2 linked regions of the Caenorhabditis elegans genome follow. The protein of the gene in region 2 purifies or fractionates together with the protein of the main gene of each other region. This does not show direct contact. Each region holds a gene or a part of one and is shown on either strand. Other genes may lie near its edges. The genes, in order: ska-3 and ska-1.

Region 1 (3,821 bases), on a different chromosome or scaffold from region 2:
CTGAAAAAAATGGAAGATCTTCTAAAAAACGACTTTAGTGAAAATCAATTTAAATCTTAATTTTTTAATTTTTGATTTTTGTTTTAAAACCAGACTTTTTTCTGAACTTTGAGACCATATTTTAGAATTTTTAGAAAACTTAATTTTATAACATTTTTCTTGAATTTTAAATGAAAAAATCTTAATTTCTCAAAAATTTACAAACCTCCAAAGCTTCTTATATAAAGTACGCGTCCTGTTTCGAAATTCTCGGGCTTTACAGCAACTATGGCGATTGCCTCGCCGTTTCGTATTACAACTCCTGTTAATTCGTTATTCATACATTCTTGATAAAATTTGTCGCTGTACGACACCGGAAATATGCTTGAAACGAGGATTCGAACTGTTTTTATGTTTTCCGCAGTCACTCGTTGCAGTCGAAGTTCAAGAGAATTATCGGTTGATGGTGATGAATGTGATAAACATTCCTCTTCTTCCATTGCTGAAACTTTGTCTAAAACGTTGACTAGAACATGCGAAAATTCTAAAAATATTCACAGTTGAAAACTGGTTGGATTTTCAAATTCATTTGATTTCATTTTCAGAAAATTGTATTCATATCCACATTTGTACAGATAAATAAAATAATATTTAGTATCAAAAATTCAGAAAATCAATCCCTTGTCTGATTGAATGCTCGACCAACTGAAGATGTGAAGACGGGCGGTGCTTGTAGGGAAAATAGATCAAGAGGATTCCGTTCTGGAGCTCTGGATGGAGTTCTTTGTGGTTTTCTTGCTGGAGTTTGCAGTTCTTCATCGTCCAACTCATCAAAAGCCAGTTTTCGTCGTTCGTTGGATGTATTCACCATTGATATGTCTGAAATGGCATGTTTTTATTGCAAAGACAAACTAATTCAATTTACCATGTCCGTTTATCAAAGAATCATCAAGACTGTAGCTTTTGGTCTCCGGAATATTTTCTTTCTTTTCAGTCCTTCCTGTCATCACCAATGATGAAAATGTTGGTGGTTTCATTATGGAAGCCATTACAGAGACAAGCTCCGGTTGACGTCTCGCAGATTCACCGAGAACTGATCCTTGTTCGACTGATATTTGTGGCATTTCTGGCTTTGCAAAAACTATTTTTTCCACTTTCTCAACCACGGGATTCAGAAAATCAATGCTGCCAATCCGCAAATGCTCGTTTCGTTCTGAATTTTTCTATTTTTTCGTGAAAAAATTATTGCAACTCACCTTTAGTCTCCACAATAGCTTTATCAAACGTTGTCCCCAACTGTTTCAGTTTTCCAGCGAGCGCACATTTCTTGTTCTTCAATTGCAGCTCGAGTTTCATAATTTCTACATGATCCGCCACATAGCTCTCCATTTCCTGCGTCAGTCTCATTCGCATGTCCACATCCAATTGTGCAAGAGTCTGAAATTCATGTAAATAATTTAAATGGACTGAAAGCTCGACAACTTGCCTTGTACTGTGAGAGTGTCAGCTTTTGAAGTAATTCTGGAGATTGGTTGCATCGAACGTCTTTTAGCTTCTCCAAAAAGTAAATAAGAACATGTTCCAGCGTTTCGTTAGCCATTTGACTCCTTTATTTGCCTGAAAAATGCTAATGAATGTTTGATGAAGACTGAGAAAATACAGAAAACTGTTGAAATTCAAAGCTTCCCGCGTGCAAGTCTCCGTAAATCGACAAATGGCAAGCGCGCTCTATAGCACATTTCACTGTGCCGCGACTCAAAGACATGCTGCGGAGTGATACAGAAACATTTCATGCTTCCCTCTTTTCCGTTGATTTTCCCAATTTTTTCTTTTCTTTTTTTCTTTTTCTCAAATCTTGAAATATATTTTGTGAAAACAATATTAACGAGTCGAAATTTCTAATTTTCAGGTAAGCATCAAGGACTCTTGCTGCAAACAACAATGTCTGACGCAGGAGGGTAGGTTATTTTTGTTTTTTTCTGAAAAATCTTGCACCTACCAATTATATCGGAAGATTTTGAAGTCATAGTTTTCCTATCGTAGTGTGCAATAAAAACCGTTCTACTGCCACACGGGTACTGGCCTTGAAGCTGTATCGGTTCCAAAGTTGTTCGAACAATTAGATTCCTTGTCTTAAAAGCAAAATTAAGTTTTTATGAAGGCTATTAAAATATTGGATAATTTTAGAGATGTTCAAGTGGCCCCAGCCGCCGTCGCCCAGGGACCAATGGACAAGGAAGGAGCTTTGAGAGCTGTTCTTCGCGCTGCCCACCACGCTGATGGACTCGCCAAGGGACTCCACGAGACCTGCAAGGCTCTTGACAAGTAAGTAATTGATATTTTAGTTTGTATTTTAGTTCCACTTATTTTTCAACGTCGCCGGTTCTAGAATCGATGTGACCCCAATAAGCTGGTAGATAAGTTGTTACTCTGCCACACGTGTACTGGTATCATGCTGTATGTGTTCCAAAGATTTTACAAACAATTTTCAGGCGTGAGGCTCACTTCTGTGTCCTCGCCGAGAACTGCGACGAGCCACAATACGTCAAGCTTGTCGAGACCCTCTGCGCCGAGCACCAGATTCCACTCATTAAGGTCGCCGATAAGAAGATCATCGGAGAGTACTGCGGACTCTGCAAGTACGATAAGGAAGGAAAGGCCCGCAAGGTCGTTGGATGCTCATCCGCCGTTGTCACCAACTGGGGAAATGAGGAGCAAGGACGTGCCATCCTCACCGACTACTTTGCCTCCAAGAACTAATCTGTTCGTTGTTCCAATAAATTGTTATTGTTCCCTATTTGTTCGTCTTTAATTACAAAATGGTACACATTCACAAGTTGTTGGGATAATATTTTCGGGAGCAGAAAGTATAGGAAAGGTTCTGCAATATATCACGCCGGTGAATTTTTATTTCGGTATGAATAACGTATGCATAGAGAGACGTAGCGCAGAAACTATTGCCAACGCGCAAAAAGATCGATACCCCCTTTTCAAAAGCCGTGAACGTAGTCGCGGTTCAGGCTTTCCCCAATGGACAATCTGAACAAATGCCTATCTGATTTAGATCTCAATTTCCCTTTATTTGCGCACTTTCCACCCACTCTTTCAAATGACTGCAGCTCAAATACATTCTGATTGTAGTGTTCATATGCTGCCACGTCATGTCAAAGAGGATGTAGAACCAATTCATCTGTTAGGGTTTAATATTGCCAGAAAGTGAGTTTTAATTTTCAATTTTAAAGCGGAATTTCAAAAGCGATAAAATCGAGAATACATTATGAAATCTCGAGCCGATTTAATTTGTGAATTCATGATTTTCAGACCAAAATGGCTTCAATTTGTTCTTCTTTCTTTAGCAATATTTATTTTGTACATAGGATACGGGTATATGCAGGTGAGATTAGAAGTTTACATAAAAAAATGTTTGGAAGAAAAAAAATATTTCAGGAATTAATATTCAAACTACCTGGAATGAAACCATTTGGATGGACGTTAACACTTATTCAATTCCTGATTTATAGCGGATGTGGATATACGGAATGTATTATTTGGCATAACACGAAACGAATGTGAGTTTTCAATTATTATTCAAATTTCGCGATTTGTGCGTCAGTAAATAGGTCTCGACACGCTTTTTTGTTTAATGAAATCTGATGTGTGCCTTTAAAGAGTACTGTAACTTCAAACTTTTGTTGCTACGGATTTTTTCTCGATTTTGTTTATTAATAAAATAAATACATTTATTCAAAATTTAAAACAAAAAAATTAAACAAATTAAAAAAAGGGAAAAACTGTAAAGTCGATAAAAATTCCACAGGAACTAAGGTGCGAAAGTTTGAAAC
Region 2 (3,709 bases):
TCTTCCACATTCTCACTGATCACTGAAAAAATAAATATTGGAATTTCTAGAAATCTCGATGAACTCGGTGCAGTTTCGAATTATAAAAGAGGAGGAACGACGGTTTTGCAAAATTGAGATGCGGTTTGATGCATGGCCATTTAAAAATGATTTTGTACTAATGAACTGACGAAAAAAGTTCAAAAACAAGTAATTTAACTAAAAACTGTAAAACCATGTGAATTAATCTACGCTTCTCATCGAACCGCGCCGCAGCTTTGCAAAACATTCCTGATTGTGCTGTAAGTATTCACCATAATTAGCTGGAACCAATCCTTTTTTGCCTCCGATGCTTGCTTGGAACCAATCTTTGTTCGGCTGCTCGTCGCTGACGTACATTAGATCTCCTTCACTGAATGTCAGCTCTTGAGCCTGAATTTATTCAATAATTGGGTTGTTTTTTTCAAATTAAAGCTTACAGATCTGGCTTGAAAATCATAAAGTGCTCGATAAACTTTCACTCGTCCTGGCTTTGGAGCTGGTGGTGGTGGAGCCATTGGTCGAGCTGATGACATTCTGATAAATTTTAAAAATGTTGAAAAATTCATATTTCTAATCAGAACAATAATATTTTTAAAGTAGAATATATTCACCAAAACAAAGGTGTAAAAATTGAAGAATAAATTTTTTTGATCATTTGAAGTAGAAATCCGTTTATTAGCTATTTGACAGAGAAATTTAATACGTTGAGACCAGTTTGAAAAATGTACAAATATCGTAAGGAATTTATGGATAATAGAAAGTCAACGGTCCGCATCGTTCTTCTCGAATTCGACGAATGTGACGAAGGCACGGAATTGCTTTGGCAAATGATGGACGAAGACGGTCTTGGAGCATTGGTCGAATGTCGGTTTCTATGAAGAATAACGTTGTTGGAAGTCTCTTTCTTGCTTTCATTTCCTGAAAAATTATAGATTTATTTTCAATAAAACAAGTAAAACAAACTTACAAGTTCTCGCCAATTGTCCAAAACCTCCCTATCGCTCCTTGTCAGCTGTTTATTAGTTTTCCCCAGGATTTTGCTCTTTTTCATCAGGAAATCATCCATTTTGCTCACTATTTCATTCATCATTTCCAGCGTTAACCGGCCTAGTTGATACTTTGGAATTGTTTTGAATTCTTCATCCGTTATCTGTGGCACAATTCTGATATCATTTTCTTTCGGTTTAGACGATAATCCTTGTTCATTCGGTTCATTGGTTTCGACAAGAGCAGATGATTCTTTACTTTGAGGTACCAATTGTGATTTCACATCGACAATCGTGGAAGCTTCAACTTTGATTCCGAGAAAATCATTCAATTGACTTTTGGTGCAGTTCATACATGTTTCTTCACAGTTGTTTTCCAATTTTTGTTGATCAAAAGCTGCATCATCTAGTAACAACTTGATATTCTTCATTGTATTCAAGAGAGGGCTGATTGCTGAAAGAAGTGATAATGAAGAATGCGAGAAGTTGTGAAGAAAAGTAAACGTACTTGTTTCAAAATTGGGAATATTTTCTCGACATATGCGGAAATTTTCATCGGTCTCTTCGGTAATCCGATCAATAAACGATTCCATTCTGAAACAGGTAATGTTTTAATTTTTAATTTTTAATATGTTATGTTTTGTAGTATTAGAGATATGTTTAATGTATCAACAATTGAAATTGAATCAACGGAAAAGAGCCAAATTCGATAAAGTCTAATTTTAGGGAAAAAGGAAGCAGTGGCCGTTTCTGCTGGATTTAAGAAATAAAGAATGCAGTAGAGCAAGAAAAAAATCTGTTCCAATTTAATTAAGAAGTTATAGCTAATTAAAAAGATAAAACAATTAAATAAATAAAGACAAGACGGCAAGGAACGATGAGTCATATTCGCGCCGTTTTAATTCAGATATACTTCGAGAGGAGTACACATCCGTGGGCGATAGAGCAGCCACAGTTCGAATTTCTAGGCCACGACCATAAAAGCGAATTTTCAAATTTAGATTTTTATCTTTGTTAGAAACGTTTTTCTACAAAATAACATCATATTTATACCTAACCCAATGAAGATAAATGGAAGAAAAAGACGAATTTGATTTATTTATTGAAAAAGCTGAAGAAGTGGTTCGTCTTTTTGAAAATGGGCAGGACGTGAGTTAATTGATGCGATAACGCGTTATAACACTGAAAAATATTCAGTTTCTCTCATCTTTTAATTTTTCAGGTTCGCAACGAAGCAGAAAAATTGCTCAAAGATGCTCTTTCTGTTGACGCAGAATGTGTTCCGTCCACATGTGTAAAGCCAGATAAAATCTGCAAAATCTTAAATGTGAGTTGTTTTTATTTCAAAAGAGATAAAAAATATATTTAATTCTCAGTATCATATAAATAAAACAAGCTCCCCACCAGTTCAAAGTATTCGAATGCGCCATTTTACTCGATCTCCAACAGAAAATAAAAAAGTAGGAGTCATAAATATCTCAATTTTCTGATAAAATGATTATTTTTCAGATAATAAACACAATAAAAGTACAACCTAACTCGTCTTCATGTCTACGATGCACAGTTTTAATAATAATTTTTACCCTTCTTTGTCTCATAGCTTATCATTTCTACTTTTTGCGATTACCAACACGTTGTCCTCGGCCAACGTGGTGAATGGCTTTATAAATGTACAGCAATTTGTTCAAGACATTTGTAATTCATTCAAAATAAGCATGGAAAAGATCGAAATGTGATTCAATGGGAAAACATAATGAAGTAGAGTTTTTAACCGTGGAGAAAAATCGATACAAATAATAGTATCATAATGAGGAGATCAAGCGAGATCGAATCAGTCTTCGGTAGTGACGGCACTCGCCGTGCACTTTTCCATAATTTCCAAACTTTTGTCGTGGTTTTTAGAGAGCATTTTTCTGTAAAAAATGTATTGTATATAGAGTTAGGAAGAAGAAATTACGTACAATAGTGGTAAATCATCAATTGGCTGGTAAACAATATCTTCAAGAATTGGTAAAGGATCTCCTCTCTCCAAATGAATTTTTCGAAGTGTTGCTTCCTGAAAAAAACTTTCCAGTTTAACACGATTGTTTTTAACGTACTTCAGTTTCTGCTTCAGTGTTTGTTGGTTGTGGATATACAGCGAAAAGTTCGAGTTCTTCTTTCGGATCACTTCCCAGCCGGACAATTTCCCGTTTTCTTTCGATATCCTACAATAAAAACATTATATTTTGAAACAAGTCATATATAAGGAAGTGTAAAAATCTACAAAATGGCCCGTTTTGAAATTTTAATGTAACTTTTGACTCGAAGGCTACTGTAGAAATATAGAAAAATGATTAAATTATTTTGCCGAAAAAAAAACGTTGTAGATTTTTTCGCACACTCTTGACACAAAATTCAATCATACATTTATAGACCGACGACATTTGTGATAATGTGATGCTGTTCGGTTCCCATTCCACGACTTGAAGCCACATTCACATTCGAACAGAGTATCCCCAGTAGTCGTCAGATCAAATCCTTCTCGTTCTTTGTCTCCAGCACAGGCAACTTCATCGTTTATCCGACGCCCTTCCAGAGTTTCAAAGAATCTACGTTGAAGTAGGCCTATCTTATTTCTTTTTGACATATGCTCTCTTTCAGTTTCATGGACGGATTTCCGTTCAATCACTTGCCACAGTGAATTGAGCATTGTGTGATCA

Evidence for each region.
Region 1: the proteins of ska-1 (region 2) and ska-3 purify together in Caenorhabditis elegans (affinity purification with mass spectrometry, with the first as the bait; one study listed by BioGRID). This does not show direct contact.

Annotation. Positions count from the first base shown.
Region 1 is NC_003281.10:5,677,410-5,681,230, forward strand, and holds ska-3 (Spindle and Kinetochore-Associated protein homolog), read right to left. Parts: upstream 1,597-3,821; 5' UTR 1,580-1,596; coding exon 1,466-1,579; intron 1,417-1,465; coding exon 1,236-1,416; intron 1,193-1,235; coding exon 905-1,192; intron 859-904; coding exon 653-858; 3' UTR 560-652; downstream 1-559. Other genes in the region: F54E7.9 (N-terminal methionine N(alpha)-acetyltransferase NatE), read right to left, coding at 206-479; rps-12 (Small ribosomal subunit protein eS12), read left to right, coding at 1,921-1,937, 2,167-2,304, 2,472-2,739; pst-2 (Adenosine 3'-phospho 5'-phosphosulfate transporter 2), read left to right, coding at 3,089-3,195, 3,301-3,373, 3,427-3,548.
Region 2 is NC_003279.8:10,472,835-10,476,543, forward strand, and holds ska-1 (SKA complex subunit 1), read right to left. Parts: upstream 1,602-3,709; 5' UTR 1,601-1,601; coding exon 1,516-1,600; intron 1,462-1,515; coding exon 989-1,461; intron 940-988; coding exon 766-939; 3' UTR 679-765; downstream 1-678. Other genes in the region: Y106G6H.14 (Osteoclast-stimulating factor 1), read right to left, coding at 1-22, 294-411, 459-554; Y106G6H.16 (Dynein light chain), read left to right, coding at 2,079-2,156, 2,230-2,334, 2,384-2,467, 2,517-2,663; row-1 (C2H2-type domain-containing protein), read right to left, coding at 2,839-2,920, 2,969-3,063, 3,107-3,214, 3,415-3,709.